4 separate regions of the Mus musculus genome follow, and all the other regions are reported to be linked to region 1. Evidence: microRNA targets listed by miRTarBase, many of them from high-throughput screens and not tested one by one. Region 1 holds a microRNA gene; each other region holds the end of a gene's coding sequence.

Region 1 (5,076 bases):
GTTTTCTTAAGATACATTCTTACTATGTACTCCCAGCTAGCCTAGAGCTCGCACTGTAGACCAAGCTAACCTGGAATTCAGAGATCTGCCTATCTCTGCTACCTGAGTGCTAGGATTAAAGGCATGGTTCTCTATGTCCAGCTTCAGAACCAAGTTGCCTTACTCAAGTAGACAATGCCCTACCTATGCAAGCAACTCCAATTAAATGCAGTGGTCCAAAAACAACACAATGACAACAAAAACCAAAAACATCAAAGTAGGTGGAAGATCTGGGGTAGAAGAAGGTTCAATGAAAGACAAAACTAGTTGCTGAGGAGCACAAGTAATGTGGCAGACAGACTGTGGACACTCAGACAGCATGTACTCTGATGACAAAATGAGACACTAACAGTGAGAAGTGGAGTATTAAAGTGAGGTATATGGTGCCAAGTTAACAAGGCATAAGTTTGAGATGGGCAATACTGATTGTCAGCATAACTGGAGTAGGAAGCACCCAGAGCATTAGTGTGGCAGACCTTTGGCTGTGTCTTGTGTAGAGGAGTAATTAAGAAGACTTGTCTTGAATGTGGTAATACCATCCTACACTGAAAAAAAGGGGAGAAGAGACATACCAGCTGAGAGCCAGCATTCATCTGTTCCCTAGCATATTCAGATATAAATAAACAGCGTCACACTTTGCCCCAAGTGACTATACCACCATGCCTTCCCTACCATGACAGTCTATACTCTCACCTGTCAGCCAAAGTAAATCCTGCTCCTAAGTGACTTTTGTCAGGGATTTGGTCAGAGCAAGGAGAAAAATTACCCAAACAGGACATGACACAAAATAACAAATTATGCAAAGTATGGGACAGTTAAAAACAATTCACCTTCATCTGTGAACCAAGAAAGCAAAATCTTACAGCTGTTTAACAGAGTGAAATTCCACCCACAGCATCAGTAAAGCTGTCCAGCCATCAATGCTAAAGATGCTGCTCTGAATGGGCACACACCTGTGCAAAACCCCTTGGTAACCTACTAGGATTCATTAAGTACAATCACGATGTAGGATCACAAGGTTTGCTCCCAAGAAAGCCCCATATCAAGAATAAAACAGCCAAAGAACAGGCTCATACTTCTAAATACTTACCACAGTCCCTACTTCCAAGAAACCAAATGCCCAACTCTATTTAAATAATTATGACAAAATAAGAATCTGATCAAATATACAGTGATGACCTCAGAAGATAGCTTAGTCAGCAAAGTGCTTCCATGTGAACATGAGGCTGAGTGGAATTCCCGAGTCCACATAGGAAAGCAGTGGCATTGGCACATTTATAATCCCAGCGCTAGAAATTGAGGCAGGCAGATCCTAGGGATTCACTGGACAGTTACCCAGCCTAATCAACAAGTTTCAACTGGTGAGAGACCTTGTCTCAAAAACTAAGGTGAGCCAGGCATTGTGGCATACACCTTTAATCCCAGCACTAGGGAAGCAGACACAGCAAGGTCTCTAGGAGTTTGAGGTCCTTAACCAGTTTAAAAATAAAAAGCCGGGCAGTGGTAATACACACCTTTAACCCCAGCACTTGGGAAACAGAAGCACACAAGTCTGAGCTGGAGGCCAGTCTAGTATACAAAGGAAGTTCCAGGATAGCCAGGCCTACACAGAGAAAACCTGTTTCAAAAAGCCAAAACCAAAATAAAATAAAACAAACAAGGTAGACAGAACCTGAGAAACACCCTAGGTTGACCTCTAACCTCCACACCTACACATGTATACACATGTATTCACATAAACAAAATGTAGCCACAAACCATGTATTTCAATTAAAAGCATAAAATGTATGCACAACAACTAAAAGTTTTTGATACTTAAGCCCAGGAAAGCAAACATATAAGAGTGATGTTATTCAAATGAAGATGGAATTTTTAAAATCTGGTGTTTAATAACTTCTAAATAAATTAAAATTTAGACAAATCCTTTTAGGTCTTGAGGTCTCTTTTTAAGGCACATGCCTATATTATTAAAAGAATTATTGTAAACCAAAGTGTATAAATAGGGACAAGCCATAAGCTGCACCAACTGGATCCTAGATCCTCTTTCCCTAAGGGCAGCCCATTCTTGGTTCTTTCATAGCCCTGTACAATGCTGCTTGACCTGAATGCTACAAGGCAGCACTGTAAAGAAGCTGAAAGCACGAAGACAGCTCTGCTGAGGTGGAGAAGAACCAAGGTGGGCCTTCCTCTGACCGCTCAGTCTTCTCCCAGCTCCAGTGGCTTCCTGTGGCTTCCTGTCCACACCTCAACAGCACCCAGCAAACACAGCGTCTAGTCACCATTGTGACCCGTCATTCATCCCATCAGTAGCTCAAGACTGGCCTTCTTCCTGGCCCCCTCTAGAGTCTCCTCAAAGAAACCATTCACCTCTTGCAGTAGTGCTTATCTTCAGGAAGAGACAAGGAGTATGGTGGGGAATGGGAGGACAATCAATGAAGAGGAGGAGGAATCTGAAGAGTGTAAAGTTCACATTTCAAGTCTACCCCATATAACTACATTTGGGCACGTTTTAAGAAGACAGACACTGTAAGGTCAGGGTAGGACCCATTTAGGAAGGTCAGCATTTCCCTAGAGTGAACAGAACAATCTCATGTGCCCTTACTTCATTAAGGGCACACATTCTTGCTATGGAGCCAATGTTGTTGGTGATGGTGATCAAAGTTGCTCTGGCAAGATCCTCCTTACTGGCCGCCTCTCTCTTCTCCTTGCTCATCATGTTTCCAAAACTGTGGTGGAGGAAAAACATTTCACTGCTGAAACAAAGGCAACACAGTCCAGGAGAACTTCAATGTTACTTTACTATGATAAAATGACTTTACATCAAGTCTTTCTGTTTTATTACAGAATGATGGGAGCATCCACTGAAAGGAACTCAGTTAAAAAAAAAAAAAAAGCCTACAAATTACACTCTAAATGAACAGGTAGCATTCCCTGTCATACTAAAATTCAACTTTGGTACCAGATAGTTCCCTATCCAAGTGCATTCAGTACAATTTCCGAAAGGTAGCACTGCCTGATCTAACAACGGAGTATTCCAGGGAGACATACCTGACTGGCAGGTCATCGCTACTGTGCAACTGTTCTACTCAGACAGTCACAGTTACATCTAGTCTAGAAAACTCATTTGATCAGCACACAAAGTACAAAACAGCTGAGGCCCACAGTGGCTACTAAAGTTCCAGGCTGCCCTAGAAAGTAAATAAAAGACTTCAAATTTCTTGACCAGCAAAAGGGCTACAATAGTAACTATGACCCAAACCCAAGGACAAGAATAAGGAAGAGATGACCAGTGATCAAATGCTGCCAAAAAAACAATCTATTTTATTTATCCAGTGCCTATTTCCCAGCTTGCACATGAATGCCTTTTCTATTATTAAAAACCAAGTACTCTGCTGGGCATGGTGGCGCACACCTTTAATTGGCACTTAAGAGACAGAGGCAGATAGATTTCTGAGAGTCTAAGGAGAGACTGGTCTGCATAGCAAGTTAAAGTCTAGACAGGGCTACATAGTGAGACCTGGACTCAAAAACAGAACAAAACAGAAAACACATGTGCTCTTAACACAAAAATACAAAAATTGCATACGTAGGGGAGCTGGAAAACTGGCTCAGTGTAAGAGCACTGACTGCTCTTCCAGAGGACCCTTTCAGTTCCCAGAACCCACATATCAGCTAAGTGTCTGTAAGTATTTAATTTCAGTCCTAGGAAATCTGATGCCCTCTTCTGGTCTCCATGGGTACCTGGCACACACATGTTACACAGATATAAATTCAGGTAAAACACCCATACACATAAAAGTAATTATTTTTAAAAACTACATACCTAAATAAACAAAATAAAATATAGAAAGGCCCATGCTAAGCATGGTGGCACAGGCCAGCATCTCAGCATCTGAAAGACCAAGACAGACCTGGGCTTCACAGTGAAATCCTGACTCAAAAACAGCATGAGGAAGACAGAGAAAAAGACTTCCACTTTTTATAGAATTAAAGAGAACTAAATAGGCATTTACTTAGCAAAAGAAATATAATGCTTGTGTACTAAAATCTTTTGCAGTTTAAAGACAACCACCACCTAAAGAAATGGAAAGAAGTCCATCTTCCTGAACCAAAGACTTGACAGTGTTAAGCTGGTAACACTCAGGTCTATAGAGATGGCTCAGCAGCTAAGAACACTTGCTCTAAAGGACCCAGGTTCTATTCCCAACACCCAAATGAAGGCTCATAACTGTGTTTCCAGATCGATATCCTCTTGTGACCTCACGACCACCAGGCACACCGTGAGTATACATACAAACATCCAAGAAAAACACAAATTTTTAAAATAATTAAAAAGAAAAATTGAAAAGAAAATTAAGATTAAAAGAAATTAAAAGAAAATTTACTCTTCAAACTGGTCAACAGATTCAATACAATCCCTATTAAAATCCTAGCTATCTTCTTTACAGACATTACCAAGTTGATACTAAAATTCATATAGAAAGTCAAAGAATTCAAAGCAGCCAAAATAATTGTGGAAAGGTAGAGCAAGTTAGAGAAGTGTGCCCTGTACCTCTGCCACCTTCCCCTAAAAACTTAGTGCAAGGCTGCGGTAAGCAAGGGAACATGGTACTTCTCTAAAGACAAATGTACAGGACTGAGAATCAAAAATTCAACTGAGGGCTGGAGAGATGGCTCAGTGGTTAAGAGCACTGACTGCACTTCCAAAAGTTTTGAGTTCAAATCGTGGCTCACAATCATCTGTAATGAGATCTGACGCCCTCTTCTGGTGTGTCTGAAGACAACTACGGTGTACTTACATATAACAATAAATACATCATCTTTTTGTTGTTGTTGTTGTTTTGTTTTTTGTTGTTGTTTTTTTTTTTTTTTTTTTTTGGTTTTTTGAGACAGGGTTTCTCTGTATAGCCTTGGCTGTCCTGGAACTCACTCTGTAGACCAGGCTGGCCTCGAACTCAGAAATCCGCCTGCCTCTGCCTCCCAAGTGCTGGGATTAAAGGCGTGCACCACCACTGCCCGGCAATAAATACATCTTTA
Region 2 (5,076 bases), not on the chromosome of region 1:
GCCTTCAGCTCTGTCTACACAGAACCTGGCTGAGGACAGAGCGTATGTGTAAGTGACACACGTGGGGGTGAAATGCGAATGGATACGAACGGGCACACATTCCAGGCTGGCTGGGGAGGAGATCAGTCCACTCGACATCTCCCACACGTCAAACATGAGCCACATAGAGAAGTGCAATGACCTCAGGAGCTGGGGTCAGAGCAGGTCCTGTGCTGTGTGGAGAGGGTATGGAATGCAAGCAGCAATGCTGTGTGCATGCGCCTGGTGCTCAGTACTGCCTCCAGTGGTTAGTCAGGGGTCACCACCTGGGGCAGGAAGAGAACAGGGAGCGAATTGGTCCTTGAAAGATGCGGGCACTGTCTGCCCCAAGCAAGTTTAAGCAAAAGGGAGGGCTCAGAGTAAGAAGGGTGGCGTCTGCTGTGGCTGCAGACGCGGCACAGAGGACAGGGTGCATCTAGATGATGTGGGTGAGTCTTCTAAGAAGGAAGCATCATCGTGGATGGGAGAATCCGCACAGGCTTTTTCCCTGAGAAAGAACCCGGACCAGCATAGCAAAAGCCAAAGCATGGCGTCTCTCCTGTCTGTCACTCCTGCCTCCCAGCAGTCAGGTCCCACCCCCCCCCACCCCCCCCCCCACCCCCCCCCGTCCTTACCTTACTCCCCTGCCCCTCATGCCTGTTCCTGGCCACTTGAAGAGCAGTCTCTCTCGCCTCTCTCACAGGGAGCTCTGTTCAGCAGATTGGCCTCAGTGTTCCTGTGATCATCATCAAACAAGAGGAGGCCTGTCAGTGTCAGTGCGCGTGCCGGGACTCTGCGAAGGAGCGGGCGGCCGGCCGGAGAAAGGGATGTTCTTCCCCACCCCCTCCAGAGCCGAACCCCCAGCCTCCTGATGGGCCCAGCCTGCAGCTGCCACCCTAGACTTCTCCCTCATCCCTGCCCCCCCCCCCCCCCTCCGCTGGACCCTCTTCCTGTGAGCACAGCAGACAGGCTGAGGCTCCTCAGACCCTCCGAAACGTTAAGTGCCATGGATGTGTCAGAGTTCCTGTCCCTCCAGAGCCTGGACACCCCGTCCAATCCGGTTCACAGTGAAGCACTACTGCAGGGGTAGAGGAAAGAGCCTGGCCGGCAGCTTCTCCAGGGGAAGGGCCTGTGCGCACACCCCTCCAGGAACAGGGTGAGCAGGAAGTACCGGCTGTGATGCTGCCGTCATGGGGTCAGAAATTGGAAGGATGAAGAAATCTGCCATCTGAAAGCTCACCTTTCAGACGTATTTTCTTTACTCGTATCCCAGGAACATCCATTTTAAGGAACTGATCTTTGGAGGAAAAAACAAAAAACAAAAACAAAAAAAGAAAAAAAAAAGCTAAGTTATAAGTGAACTGTCTGGCTGCACTGTGTGTCACTTTTGCTTATTGTTATGTGAACTTGGAAACTAAGGTTACGTGTATGCATAAAAGTTCTAAATGAAAGGGTGTGGTTTCCATCACTTTGGTACTGCCCATCATTTGCACTGGGGTCACTGTGGATTGGGCAGGAGAGGCCACTGTGCCTGCCGGGTGTTGCTTCTCTTCTGTGTCTGTTTAATCCGAGGCAGTACCTGGAGGGCCAGACCACCGCTCTATGAAAGCGGGGAGTGGCAAGGGCAGGCGTGAGTTAGACTGGGTGAGTTGCTTTGTTGTTGGCACTTGGTTTCTGTGGAGCTTGGGGTAGATGCAGAGGGGGCTGCCCTGTGTCCTGCTTAGTCCTAGCGGGCAGCTGCAGGCCTCCTGGCCAGAGGGAAGATGTGGTTCTGCAGGGCCCCGAGGCAGTTGTTGACAGCTCTGTTGATAATGTGCTAGACCCTAGAGCTATCTAGCACAGCCACAGTCTTGCCTTCTTGGCTCTTTCCATCTCTCAGTGCTTGTTAGTGCTTGAGGCTTGAAGTTCATCTCTCCTACGGAAGCGCCCTGTTTTATCCTAAAGTGAATGAGAGGCTTCTGGCCAGTGGCTGCCAGGGTCTTCCTGCCTTCGATGATGTTTGCTTCCTCAGAGCAGAAGGGCTGCTTTTCCAGAGAAAGTGCAGAGCTAAAGGAGTTAGATGGTGAGGCAGCAGGTGGTCGGCAGGCATTCTGGTACCCAGTTGTAGCCAGGCTTTGGTTATCCTCTCCCAGCTGCATGTCTCATGTCTCTTAGATTTGCATACAGCCTCATACAGTGCAAAGGAAGATGTGATCTCTAAACAAAAAGGAATAAAAACCTAAAATGATGATATTCTACTCAGGGTAAAACAAACAAACAAACCCCTTCCACCAAAAAGCCTGAAGCTTGCAGTCAGTTTACCTCATTTGGAATGTTTTGTTGAGTTGTGTTACAGGAATTTTTTTTTATTAGTGTATAAAATTATACCCATCTCCTTGCCTTTGGCTCCTGGTTATTGCCTCTTCAAACATAAGTACAATCTATAGGAGAATGGGGGTGTGGCTGTCCTTCGGCTGTTTACTGTAGCCATCAGTGCTTGGCAAGGTCAGAAGGTAGCTGGGTCTGGGACTGGAGGAGGCGTCTGTCTCCAGCAAAGAGCAGGGTCTGGTGCCCCAACAGGACAACCAGAGAGCTGTGTAGGTTGCCCTCCTGCAGTCTGGACCTTTCCTCAGAGCCAGCTAGGATGGTGACCCTTGTCTTTAGGCAAGGTATTTAGGGACAATTGGCCAAGAGGGTCATGGCAGCACTATTGAGAAATGGCACAGGTACAAGCAGCTGATCTCCCATTCCAGGATTGGACCAGGAGTATGAATTTCTGATGTTCTACACCCCCACACCCCACACACACCCAAAAAAGGTTGATGGATTTGGGCAACCATAGACCTCAGCAGGAATCTGCACGGTGTGAGGAGCCCCCTGTTGGCGCCGTGGTTAGTCCTTCTGGGAACCAGCTGCTTGGGTGTAGATTGTCCTCAGCTGTCTCTAGGACTTGCACTCACAGGAAGCTTTGCACTCGGGCCCTCACTCGTTTCTCTTCTCTGAGGAGAGCAGTGAATGGGACCCCCAAAGTGAGCTTGTAACAAGGGGTAGTAATGGCCCTCCCACTCACTCTGCCTATGACACCCTGGGAGCTGACATAGGAAACAGGAGCCTAGGGAGGATGTATGGAAGGTTTCAATGGTTTAAATATGGCTTCTTGGTTTGCTAGGGCTGTGCTCTTAATGGTCCATTCCTAGGTTATTGGCTTTTCACCCTCCACAGTTGGCATGGTGAAGAAACATTTGAGCAGTGTTGAGGCTGAAGTGTTGCTAGGTGAAGGAGCTAAGTGATTTTAGAACACAAGAGACTCTCAGAACCTAAGAGGTTTTGGAAAGTGAGGACTCTGCTTGCAGTTGGTGGTTGTGGAGAGCCAATGTGTGAAACAGGGTAGACAGACGCTTCGGCCATGCTTGTACCAGTGGTCCTTCCCCCATCTTTCCACAAGCCCAGCCTCTAATGCTAAGGACCTTGGAGAAGAGGGAACCTCCTGGCTAAACTAGAACCACGAAGACCCTTCATGGAGTGGTTTCGCCAGGGAATGACCTTAGGGTAAGGCCAAGAAGAGTGAATTCTGGCAAGTCGATTAAGCCTTTCCTTCCACGACAGCCATCACCACTGTCACCCTGTAGACGAGACTTGGGTTACCACTAGCATCTCCAGTTTAGCCTCTTCCAAGAGACTAGTTGGCAGCAGGGCTGATGGACCTAGGAGGTGGTCAGGTGATCTTGGTCCCACCCAATTGCCTTATAAATGTGGTCCTTCCCAGGCAGGAGGGTAAGGCTGAGAGAAGAGAGCTCAGTGCCCTTGGGCAGCACTAGTTTGGCCACAGGAGTACTGTCCTCTGTTGACTTTGGTTCATAAGATGATGGTACAATGCCAAGGAGAGGCTTGGGGTGTGGAGAGCCCTCTAGGTAGAAGGCAATGGGACTCCCCTTCCCTTTCAGAGTCAGTGGATGGGAAAAGGTTGTTTTCCGGATCAAGGCAGTGGGCTGATGGGGTAATGGAGGTGCCTGAGTTTTGCCTGAGGCTTTGTATTATGCTGAATGTGTCCAGAGGGACAAATTTGCAGAACCTCATATTGATATTTTAAATAATAAAATAAAAAGCACTTTAGGTTACTTTTATCTTTAACCCAATTGCTGCAATTTCTGTTGTGTATGTATATATACATATATATACTTTCCCCAAAGTTTTATTTTTTGCTCAGAATAAAAGTTAAGTTGAGGTGTAAAAAGAGCACTTACTTGGGTGCAATATATGCGTAGCTTGACAGTCGCTATCCCACGTGGCCCTGGCCTGGCCTTCTGCTCCATCAGCCCTGTGCTGAAGCTGGCCACAGGGAACCACTATCAGCATCTCAGCAGCTGCTCAATCTATGCAAGCCTTCCTGTGTGTCCGGGGCGCCCCCCTCAGGCCCTCCAAGGAACTGCTGCAGCTGTTTTCTTCTGACTGTTGAGGCCCCTTTTCAACTGCTTCTCCGCCGTCCCCTGCTCTTTCCCCTCTTCCCCAGAACAAAATGATTCCTGAAAGGAAGGGTCGGTTGTTCCTAGGTAGAAACCTGGCACCTTTAGACTTTCATATTTGTAAACACATCCATTGAAGGGAAGCGTCTCCAGTGTCACTGAGACTGTTGGTGTGTGGAAGTGCACTACTGTCGCGAATTTACAGCTTTTTCACAGCCCCAATCAGAAATATGTCGGAAGGCTCTCTGCACCACCTCTGTTGGCTCAAAAGCAGAATGACTTCCACGCTTCATCAAATCCATTTAGGAAGCCGTTAATGACCTCCCTCACCGGCTCCCACTTACTCTTAAATTCCCAACTGTAGAGGCATTTTAAATATACTCCAGCCAGTGCAAGATTTTCACAGATGAAGTTTGCAAGTGGTTGTGCTGTGACACAGATGGGAAATTGTCCATCTCTCCTCTGAGGCAGAAGGGGATGAGCCATAAAACTGGATCATACATATTTCTGATTGGTCTGTTTCTTGCATATTCTTGGATCTTGTTTCTTATGCCCCTGCTCTTGGGGAGGTTGGTCATTAGCCCAGGCATCTCTCACTGTTCTGGCGGCTTGAGGG
Region 3 (5,076 bases), not on the chromosome of region 1:
GCTTAGTATACCAGTATATAGAACATAAACTACATCTTTGCTACTTTATCATACTGGACCCATTTTACAACCGGTGACACTGAGGTCCAGAGAATTGAATGGTTTACTTGTTAAAAACCAAACAATATTTAAAGCCTGCATGCGACTGAGTCAAGCAAGTGCAGAATGCTAAAGATCAGAGTGGATGGCAACCTGACCCCAAATCCCAGGGCCAGGAATTCAGATTCCTGGCAGGTAGCAACAGAGAGCTGGCTTCTGGCTGAACTCCCACTGCGGGAGGCTAGGGAAGTGGTGAGCTAGCACTGAGTCTGGACCTGGGTGGGCATGCATGTTGAGGGTGGACTGTGTGTAGGGAGTGAAGCTGAGGCTCTTTTTCTCTAGGTTCCCCTTGTTCACTGCGGTGTACAAAGTGTGCTATGAGGGCCAGCCAGTGGGCGAATTCATCCGCTGTCTGCAGAACCACCCGGAACACATGTGAATGGGGCCAGGGCCCAGGACAGGCAGCCCCTTTGCCCCAACGGAGACAAGCGGAAGGAAGCACGTGACACCCGTCATCAGGACTGTCTCCAGGACTCCCCATCTAGCAGAGTCCTCTCTGAAGGACCCTGAGGACAGGAGGCTGCGGGGCTCAGCTACACACCTAGAGATGCTCGCCACAGAATCCACACTTCCTTGCTGTCCTCTGGGAAGTGTAGAACTAAGCCCCAGTGGTGCCTGCTCCAGGGGTGGGGTTGGGGGAAGGGAAGGCGCCAAGTCAAGGGCTGCCGGTTGCTGCCTCACACACACTGGGAACCGGTCCCAAGTCCCATTAAGTGACTGAAGAAGCACTTCAGCCACAGGAAAGATGGGGCAAAGGCTGCCAAGGGAAGGGTCTGGATGCCTGAGCTGACACAGACCCCAGAGACCCTTTGGCCGACCTCTGCCAGGCCCCACACAACATCAACGATCTCACTGTTTGCTAACAAAATACAAAGCTCTCAAACAACCCCACTCTAACTTCTCCTAGCAACACTTGCTTCCTCAGAAGCCTCTACTTCCCCCTCCCCCAGGCTACTCTGGCACAAGAGTTGCTCTCCACAGGCATCTCTGGCCCTGGGGCGCTCCATTCTTCCCAGAGACTTCCTGGTTCCTGGAGCTTTGTCAGGGCCTCCCCACCCTGTGTGACCTTTCCCAGCTTTCCCTTGCCTGCACCCAGCTGCCAGCACCCTCTTTGGGGAGCAGGAATCTAATCTGCTGACAGAGCTACACTCTTTTCACAGCAGGCTCAGATGGCTCAGGCTCCCCTGACCTTCCTATTTGTCCACCTCCCCAGTCAGGAGCTCCGGCCCCGGCCAGCCCCTCCTACTGCTGACCTTTCTTCTCAGGGTCCTCCCCACAAGGCCGCTTCTCTCTGCAGTCACCACCAACTTCACGTCTAACAGAATGTAGGATTTATAGTTTATCGTCCTCAGGGCTGTCAGCCCATATTCTTGACTCTGCCCTTTCCTTTTGCCCAAGTCGTTCTCACCCAGCCTGGAAGGCCACCCGGCATCTGTAGGCTTAGAACTAAGGAGCAGCTCAAAGGTTCAGTAGGTTTCCACAAGGGTTGGTGGGTCCTAGTCCAAGGCCAGCTGTCCTCGGAACAGAACAAGGTCCTCGCGAGATCGGACCCACACACCTCAGGAGCTGGGGAACTCGAGGGAAGGACAATTGAAAACTGCCTGCCCTGGGGTGAGGGAGATCAGAGGGGGATGGGAGACTGCTTTGCACTGGCCCTGTTCCAAAGTTGGGTGGCAGCAAGAGAATGTCACAGATCAGCAGCCTGGAGCGCTAGCTATAAATAGCTGGAGGTTTCTCTCTCCACCAGGGGTCTCCATTTCCTGTGTGGCAGCAACTGGGACACCGTGGCTCTGGCCAGCTTGATATTAAACTAACACATTAAGGTGCCAGGTCCCTCTCTGCTCCTAGCCTTTAAGAATTCCGTCTTAGTGAAGGTCAGAGCTGTCGGGTAAGGGGAAGAGGGGGGGCCCTGTCATCGATCCCGACTGGGCTGGAACCCTCCCACGCATGACTCAATTCAGAGCTGTTCCCCGGGAGACTGGGGCGGGATGCAGACAGATTCCAACACCTTAACCTATGTTTGCTCAGTCAGTCAACTGTGAATCTGAGGTCTTCTGTCAGGCCACTTGTCTACCCAATAAAGTGTGGTTTTTCCAGAAACTGGAAGAGTTGGGGGAGTTTATGTGGCAGTGTGTGGGGTCATGTATCACTGCATGCATGTTTTACTCAATGTAAGACAAGAAGTGGAAAAAATCATCCTTGTTTAATAGCAGCCACACTCGGGCATCAATCGGCATTGGCGTCCACTCTGCTCACAGCCCCCACCTCCACCCCCCCACCCCACCCCCGTCCCCTTTTGTGCTTCGTATCCCCTCTTCCACCCAAGCTGTCAGCCAGTCTTCCCAGCGCTTCTTACAGGGTCTGTCACGTTGCCTGCCTACGAGGAGGTCGCGCACAAGGCAGAAATATTAGCGAGTCACCCTCCCATCCCCCGACTCACCCCCTACACCCATTCTGTGGCCTCACTAGTGCTGGTCCAGCTAAGGTCGGTTCCTCCGGATCACCCTGTAAAGGGCCGCTCCAGGCGGTAGGGGGCGCTAGGCCCATCGCTGGAGAATTCCGAGGATCTACCTAGCTACAGTTTACGTCACTGAACTTAGACTGCGGATTGGCTAATTCTGAGCTAAAATTTTTCCCGTTTTCCAAGGAGCGCTCTTGATGGACCAGAACCACACCCCCCAGAATTCAATGGGCCTTTCCGAGAGGAAGGCTAGACTGAGCGTGCGTAAGAGAGAGGTAGAAGCCGGAAGTTCAAGGCTGGCTCTCGCTTTAGTGGGCGAGTTTTCGCAGGGGGTGTCGGGTCCGGAGCGGGGCTGAGCACCAGTGGCTGAGGAGCTGCGCGTTGGTGACTGCCTCTTCCTGCCCTGCGGCGGCCGCGCGACTCTGCGAGTGGCAGACTGAGCAGGCATCGCTCTGACGCGGCCGAGTTGCAGCCTCCAGGTAGGCCGCGGGCCGGACGGCCAAGCGCACTCGCCCTCCCCCCACGCTCTCCTGCTCGGCGCACCGCGCCCCCTGCTCCCCGTGTCGCCGCTTTTCACGCTGTTCCCCTGCTCCCCGTTCCGAGTCCCTGCTGTCCCCTGTGCCCCGCACCGCGCTCCCCTCCGCTCCCCTGTGTCCCGCACCGCGCGTCCTCGGCCTGTGCCCTTGAGAGCGCGCGGCTCCTAGTCCCTGCGCTGTGCTAGCCCCTGCTGGCTCCCCGGCTGTCATAGTCCGACCGCCTTCCTGGTGTGACTGCGGCCTGGCTGTCCTCCCTTCTGAAACTGCTCGCCTCAACCCCAAAGCTCCTCACGGTCCCTCAAAGCCACTTATTTCTCTGAGGTCCTCACCACCTTCTCTGATCCTACAGAATATGGGGTTCATAGCTTACCTTTCTGGGCTCCGTTAGTCAGAAGTTGTTTTCTGCGGACACCAAGTCTCTCCAAAGAGGGCTAAATGACAGAAGCTGGGGTGGTTTTAGGGCTTTGATCCTTATTTGTTTTGTAAAGGATGCCCATCAGATGAAAACCTTCTGCCAGTCTCAAGAGTTTCTTTTATTTCCAAAGTTAATCCTTGTATCTGGGCTTCTAACTTCAGGGTTTTATTGTTTGTTTTTGAGGTTATCTCGGATTTGCTTCTTTTTGTTTCACACCCCCCCCCCGTTTTTTTGTTTTTTGTTTTTGACAGGGTCTCATGTCCACATCCTGAGTGCTGGGATTTCCAGCATATACCACATGCTCTGTTTAATGCAGTTCTGGGGACTGAACCTCTGGCTTTGTGCCTGCTACACTGAGTTACATCCCACTTTAAATCATACTCAAATCTTCTCTATCAGTGAACAAGGTGAAATTAGCTTTTCACCAGGGCGAAGTGACTCTGGCACTCTACAGGCAGGATCCCCCAGACACACACATCCTCAAGTCTATCTTCAGGTCCTCTCTCGGGAGAATTTCACTACCACAATAAGTAGCCTGATTAAAATATGGTTCTGAGGCTGGAGAGATGGCTCAGCAGTTAAGAGCCTTGCTGTTCTTCCAGAGGACCCAGGTTTGATTCCTAGTATAGTCTGGGTGGGCTGGTCACTTTTTTTTTTTAAAGAGATTTATTTCTGGATTTTATGTATATGAATACACTATAGCTGTCTTCAGACACACCAGAAGAGGGCATTGGATCCCATGACAGATGGTTGTGAGCCACCATGTGGTTGCTGGGAATTGAACTCAAGACCTCTGGAAGAGCAGTCAGTGCTCTTAACCACTGAGCCATCTCTCCAGCCCCGGCTGGTCACTTTTTAAGCACAAATAAGGAGAGCCTGTGTTAGCTCTGATGGCATCGCATCATATACACCTGTTTCCGGCCTTCTGTACCTCGGGTGTAGATGTTTTGAGTCAGAGCTCTGAAACTGCCATGCTTAACTCTTTTTTTTTTTTTTTTTTTTTTTTTTTTAAAGATTTATTTATTTATTATATGTAAGTACACTGTAGCTGTCTTCAGACACTCCAGAAGAGGGCATCAGATCTCATTACGGGTGGTTGTGAGCCACCATGTGGTTGCTGGGATTTGAACTTCGGACCTTCGGAAGAGCAGTCGGGTGCTCTTACCCACTGAGCCATCTCACCAGCCCCATGCTTAACTCTTTTAAGAGCAGCCACACAGGAGTCACCAGCATAGGATGCATCCGTGAAGATGAAAATAAGGAATGGCTCTCCGGGAAGGAGGAGAGGCCTATCCTGCAGACCAACTCCAATCTGTCTTTGTAGGGGAAGACATGCCATCTGCCAAGCAGCTAGCCGATATCGGCTACAAGACCTTCTCTGCCTCGATGATGCTCCTCACTGTGTATGGGGGTTACCTCTGCAGTGTACGAGCCTACCGTTACCTCCAGCTGCGCAGTGCCAGGCGCCAGGCTGCAGAAGAGCAGAAGACCTCAGGAGTCCTGTAGAGCAGCGAGGCGTGAGGCCTGCGGCCTGAAATGGAAAAGATTTTCCTGCATGTCAACCC
Region 4 (5,076 bases), not on the chromosome of region 1:
CAAAGCCGACCTTAAAGGAAGCCGGCTAACTGGCTTGGTTCCCATGGCTCCCTCAGCTGCCCTATTCACCCCAGGACCTGGTGGTGGTACCACCCACAGTAGTCTGGGCCCTCCATATCAACCATTTATTAAGAAAATACCTCACAGACACCTATAGGCCAATCCGGTAGAAGCTGAGGGTGCCTCTTCCCAGGTGGCTCGAGTTTGTGTGAAGTTGATCAAGACTAGGCTGCTGTCTAGGACCAACACCTAGACTGTAGGTGGGATAAAGGCACCAGGAATGTGGAGAACTGGAGTGTGCCCCCAGATCCTTGTTGTCCTAGCGCAGACGCTCCAGATGTGGGGTTTAAAATCCACTTTGTAAAAACAGATTTTGATAGGGCATTGACCTCAGTGGTCGACTGCTTGCCTAGTGCAGAAGCCGCTGGGGCTTATCCCTGACAGAAAAATCAAAACAAAGGCAGGAAAGCCTCGATGATTGGCTGGGGACCCTGGGTGTCTGAGGGTCTCCTCTGCCTGGGACTTTTCTCCCACAAACAAGATTCAGAATAAGGCCGAGCCCTGGTGAGTTCCATGCTTAGTCCCAGTGCCCTCGGCCTCCCAGCCTTTTCATTAAAGAAGGAGGGCCTAGGCACCAACTCGATGTGAAGGTGAAGGGTCTCCCGATGGAGTCTCACCACCTCCCAGAAACCCCTGCAGTCGTGGAGAGGCCCGTGTGACACAACAGAGCCCTCCCCCATGGCTTCCCTCACCCGTCTCTCATCTCTCTGTCTTGCAGTATAGGAAACAAAACTGAGTGTCTGGAGCTTACGGCGAGCGCTTAGCTGCCCTGGAGTCACTTGGAACTGAGAAGCCTTCTGCTCTTGGAACAGCATCAGTTCTGGAATATTCTTTGATCTTGTTGGCTGAAAGCAAGAAATCGTAACTGACATTTGGTGAGGTGGTTCTCGTCATTGCAGCCATGTCTCCAGCGTCTTTTATGTCTGCTTTTCCAGACAGAAACGATATGCAATTTGGGGAGAATTTGGAGTTTTTTTGCTTCTTCTCTGTGTTTCTCATTTTTGCCTATCTGTTCTTTTACTTTGCCCTGAAGGCAGTTAATTTATTCTGGAGGTCCCGTCACCGATCTCCCAGCCCCATGAGAGATGTCCCCTCAGATGACCACCTGTATAGAAAGAAACGAACGGGCTTGAGAACCAGGCAGCTGTGGATCTGAATCCCAGCCGGCATACACGCCATCTGTCAGGTGCCCGAGTGAGCCTGGGGGGGTGAGGCGGCAGTCACGTGCCAGCTCACACCAGCTCCCTGCACAGGGACCTTGCTGCACAGGGACCTTGCTGCACAGGGACCTTGCGAGGAAGCCGCTGTGCTCCTCGTCCTGTTCAGTGACTCAGCTGTGAGTGCGTCTTGTCTCCTCTCAGAGTCCACACGCCCTCTTATCTGTGCCATGCTGTGTCCGTCAGTCTGTTAAGCAGCGGCTTCCTCCCAATATGCTCCAGGCAGAAACCCTGACCCTTGAAGTGGGAAAACATCTACTACACTAGACCAGCAATAAGGTGCAAGTAGGCAGGGTAGACACCAGCAGGTCCAGGCTTCCGTGCTCCACAGTGTGTCCTCTCTGGAGAGGAGATTGGGTCCAAGGGGAAGTGGCCCAGGTGGGCGAAGTAGCCAGAAGATGCAGAGAGGCCACACTGGGGGTTGAATGTTCGTGGGGCACTCAGGTGAGCTAGTGCCTGTCTGTGCCCTTGCAGTTCTGCGGGATGATGTGACCTCTGTCTAAGCAGAAGGGGCGGACAGTCCCGAAGCACGTGTGTCCACTTGTGAAAGCTCACAGTTTTCTTCCTCCTCTTTTGATTTATTTCAGACAGGATCTCAGTGTATACACTGGCAGGCCTTGAACTTTTGAACTTTCAGCAGTCTTTCTGTCTCTGCCTCCCAAGCACTTAGATACAGGTGTGCCACAACACATTGCTGCTGCTGCTGCTGCTGATAAATGCTCGTCAGGACAGTTTGCAGGATGCAGCTCACTTCTTCCTCTATGTGGGTCCCAGAGACTGAACTCGGGCTATCAGGCTTGGTGGCAAATGCCTCTATCTGTTGAGTCATCTGTTGGCTCTTATTATTTCTTCTTTAAAAAAAGAAGATCTTTATTTTATTTGTGTGTACCACGTGTGTGCAGGTGCCCTCAGAGGCCTGAGGACATTGGGCTCCCTGGAACTGAAGTTATAGGCAGTATGAGCTGTCTGATGTAAGTGTTAGGAACCAAACCTGAGTCTTCTGCAAGCAGTTAGCGCTCACACTCACGCACACACTCACGCTCACGCTGAGCCATCTCTCTAGCCCTCTATTGTTTCTCCCTGACTGCTGTTCTCTGAATAGGATTGTTCCCTCGACACGTGTGTCAAACAACGCTAAGGACTTGGGTAAGTCAGACACCCACTTGCCTGGAAGGATCATTCCTCAGAGACAAGCAGAGCCACAGGTTTGGGCTCCCAGATGACTGCCAGGCAAAGGGCAAGAGCAAAGCCGCAGTCCCTCCATCCCCACTGCTGCTGTCCAGTCCATCTGAGCCCAGGGACCAATCCTTACCTGGTGGTGTTCGTGGCAGTAGAGTAGCCATGTGTGCCACCATGCCTGGCCTTAGGCAGAGTTGTTCATTAGAATGGGGCTGAGGAGAAAGGACTAACACTGATTTGAGGAGCTGGGGCTGCCACTCACAGGGAGTGTGAGAGGGGTGTGGGGTCCCGTTGTTATGAGGGTGGTTTCAGAGAACACAATACAGATCAGTGGCCAGGTTATCCCTATGACATAGGACATTGACCTGTATCTGGTGGGGTCTCCCTATTGATAAAATAAGGGTGGAAGACGGGCTTATTTCATTTGTTGAAAGTGAGGGAGAGGGCTGAAGAGCAGTTAAGAGCACTGACTGCTCTTCCAGAGGTCCTGAGTTTAATTCCCAGCAACCACATGGTGGCTCACAACCATCTATAATGGGATTTGGTGCCCTCTTCTGGTATCTGAAGAGAGCAATAGTGTACTCACATTTATAAAATAAATAAGGCCGGAGCAAGCAGGGCCAGAAAATATATAAACAAAAAGAAAAAGGAAAACATAAAGAAAAAGGCTACTTTAAAAAAAAAAGAAAGAAAGAAAGTGAGGGAGAAAAACTGAATCTCCATGAATGTGTCCTTAATATTTGATCCCTCTCCAAGATGTCTTCTCCAGTCATGTGTGTGTGTAAGTGTCCACATGTATGTGTGTGAGTGTCCACACACACATGTGCCAGTACCTGTGTATACCTGTGTGTGCACAGGGAGAGCAGGGGTTGATGATGGGTTGTCCCCTCTGTTGCTCAGTACCTGGCATTCTGAGGCAGGGTCTCTCCCCACAGGTCACTGATTGATGAGACTGCTAGCCTGCAGATTCTGGGGGTCTAACTCATGCTCTCTCCTGCCACACACACACACACATCACCCGGGCCTCAGGTGTGTGCCAGTGAGCCCAGCTTTTCTGTGGGCATTAGGGGTCTGAATGCAGATCTTACTCATTGTGCTGAGCTGTCTTCACAGGCCTTTCCTTCTTGTTCTTAAGGACCTGGTGGCAGGTGGAAGTCTGACTTCAGAGTTGCTTTGCAGTTGCTGGCCCTACTTGATGGGATGGGGACAAGAACGGTGGCACGGGCTCTGTCTGCAGTGGGTAGACCATGGAGTGGCATCAGTTTGATATGGAAATGGCAGTGTGGAGAAGATCCCCTCCCCAAGCATGTTAAGTTAGCATAGGACCGAAGTCAGTGGAATAGCGGCCAGTGATGGCTCCCAAGTGCCAGAAGCCAGGCACAGATGGAACAGTATCCAGTGCCAACCTCCATAGGTGCCTCATCTCACAGGCTGAGGCCATTCTGCTCCTTGAATATGATTGGCTACAGGTCCTGGCTATTGACCTAAGTGCAACAGGTAGAATCCAGGCGTATGCACACCCTTCTTTGTTCTATTAATAAGAAACCGAATTCTCTCTGGTTTTGTTCGAGTATCGGTCAAGGAATTTAGTGAGAGTGGGGTGTAGGGGAGCCAGCTAGTGCATCTCCTGTGTTTTTGAGGGCTTTAGTTAAGGATTGTAATGTGACCTCATTGTAAACAAAGCTACCCTATCAACCAAGAGAGGTAATTGGCTCCTGCAAGATTTAGCTCCTAGGGGCTGGCAAGATGGTTCCAACAGGCACTGCTGTGCAAACCTGACGACTGGAGTTTGATCCCCTGATTCTGTGTTAAGGAGCAAAGAGAACACCAATGCCTCTCACCTCCACATGAGACACGTGGCATACACACACCTGCGTTCACACATCATGCACACACACAGTGATAACCATAAAAACAACAGTAATCTAAAGCATACATTATTTTGGGGCTGGAGCCATAGCTCAGTAGCTAAGAGCACCTACGGCTCTGGCATTAGTCAGAGTTAGAACCACATCTGGTAGCTTACAACTGACTGTAACTCCAGCTCCAGAGGGATCCAATACCTCTGACCCTGCAGGCACCTCCACTCAGGTGCACACACCCACATGCATACAAATAGTTTAGAAAATTATCATAAAATAAAGAAATTATATAGCATGCTTATACCAGTATGTACCAACGCTCCTAATTTTATAAATGACTAGCCCAGGTACTGTGTTCCCTGCAAAGTAGTCTCCTACAATGTAGAAGAAATGTAATTAAGAATTAGAAATGTAATTAAGACTTAGACAATCTTTAGTTTTGGAGGAACTCAACAAGAGATGCTGCCCTGGGAGCTGGAGAGATGGCTCAGAGGTCAAGCGCACTGGCTGCTCTTCCAGAGGTCCTGAGTTAAATTCCCAGCAACCACATGGTGGCTCACAACCAACTATAATGATATCTGGTGCCCTTTGGCCTGCAAGCATACATGGAGGCAGAATGCTGTATACATAATAAATAAAATCTTTAAAAAGAGATGGTGGAGGTAGCCCTAGGAAGGACACTCAGCAAGAGCCTGGACAGGGTATTTATTTATTTATTTATTTATTATCTGTTTGTTTATTTTTACCGAGTGTTTGTT

The links. The annotated mature microRNA mmu-miR-103-3p reads AGCAGCAUUGUACAGGGCUAUGA and lies in region 1 at 2,114-2,136, opposite strand. An mRNA with a match to its seed (bases 2 to 7 or 8) in the 3' UTR can be bound and repressed. Matches are read on the target gene's strand: a 7mer-m8 pairs with bases 2 to 8, a 7mer-A1 pairs with bases 2 to 7 and ends in A, and an 8mer does both.
Region 2: the mRNA of Mtf1 is a reported target of mmu-miR-103-3p. Seed matches in the 3' UTR shown: 7mer-m8 at 1,198-1,204, 7mer-A1 at 4,135-4,141 and 7mer-A1 at 4,425-4,431.
Region 3: miRTarBase lists Gpd1 as a target of mmu-miR-103-3p. The part of its 3' UTR that is shown has no 7-base or 8-base seed match.
Region 4: the mRNA of Lyrm9 is a reported target of mmu-miR-103-3p. Seed matches in the 3' UTR shown: 7mer-A1 at 1,320-1,326, 7mer-A1 at 1,336-1,342 and 7mer-m8 at 4,778-4,784.

Annotation. Positions count from the first base shown.
Region 1 is chr2:131,285,163-131,290,238 of GRCm38, reverse strand. It overlaps Mir103-2 (microRNA 103-2), which reads right to left and starts at 2,187; the gene lies at 2,102-2,187. Pank2 (pantothenate kinase 2) reads right to left here. Exons shown (of 7, transcript NM_153501.2): 5 at 2,642-2,765.
Region 2 is chr4:124,843,426-124,848,501 of GRCm38, forward strand. Mtf1 (metal response element binding transcription factor 1) reads left to right here. Exons shown (of 11, transcript NM_008636.4): 11 at 722-5,076. The coding sequence ends at 918. Among named protein-coding and RNA genes, the nearest start is that of 1110065P20Rik, 4.6 kb to the right of the region's middle.
Region 3 is chr15:99,722,810-99,727,885 of GRCm38, forward strand. It overlaps Gpd1 (glycerol-3-phosphate dehydrogenase 1 (soluble)), which reads left to right. Exons shown (of 8, transcript NM_010271.3): 8 at 382-2,205. The coding sequence ends at 478. It overlaps Cox14 (cytochrome c oxidase assembly protein 14), which reads left to right and starts at 2,809. Exons shown (of 2, transcript NM_183256.3): 1 at 2,809-3,039; 2 at 4,836-5,076. The coding sequence starts at 4,844. The coding sequence ends at 5,017. It overlaps Gm16537 (predicted gene 16537), which reads right to left and starts at 1,665. Exons shown (of 3, transcript NR_155353.1): 1 at 1,508-1,665.
Region 4 is chr11:78,838,345-78,843,420 of GRCm38, forward strand. It overlaps Lyrm9 (LYR motif containing 9), which reads left to right. Exons shown (of 4, transcript NM_001076681.2): 4 at 779-5,076. The coding sequence ends at 796. Among named protein-coding and RNA genes, the nearest start is that of Lyrm9, 14 kb to the left of the region's middle.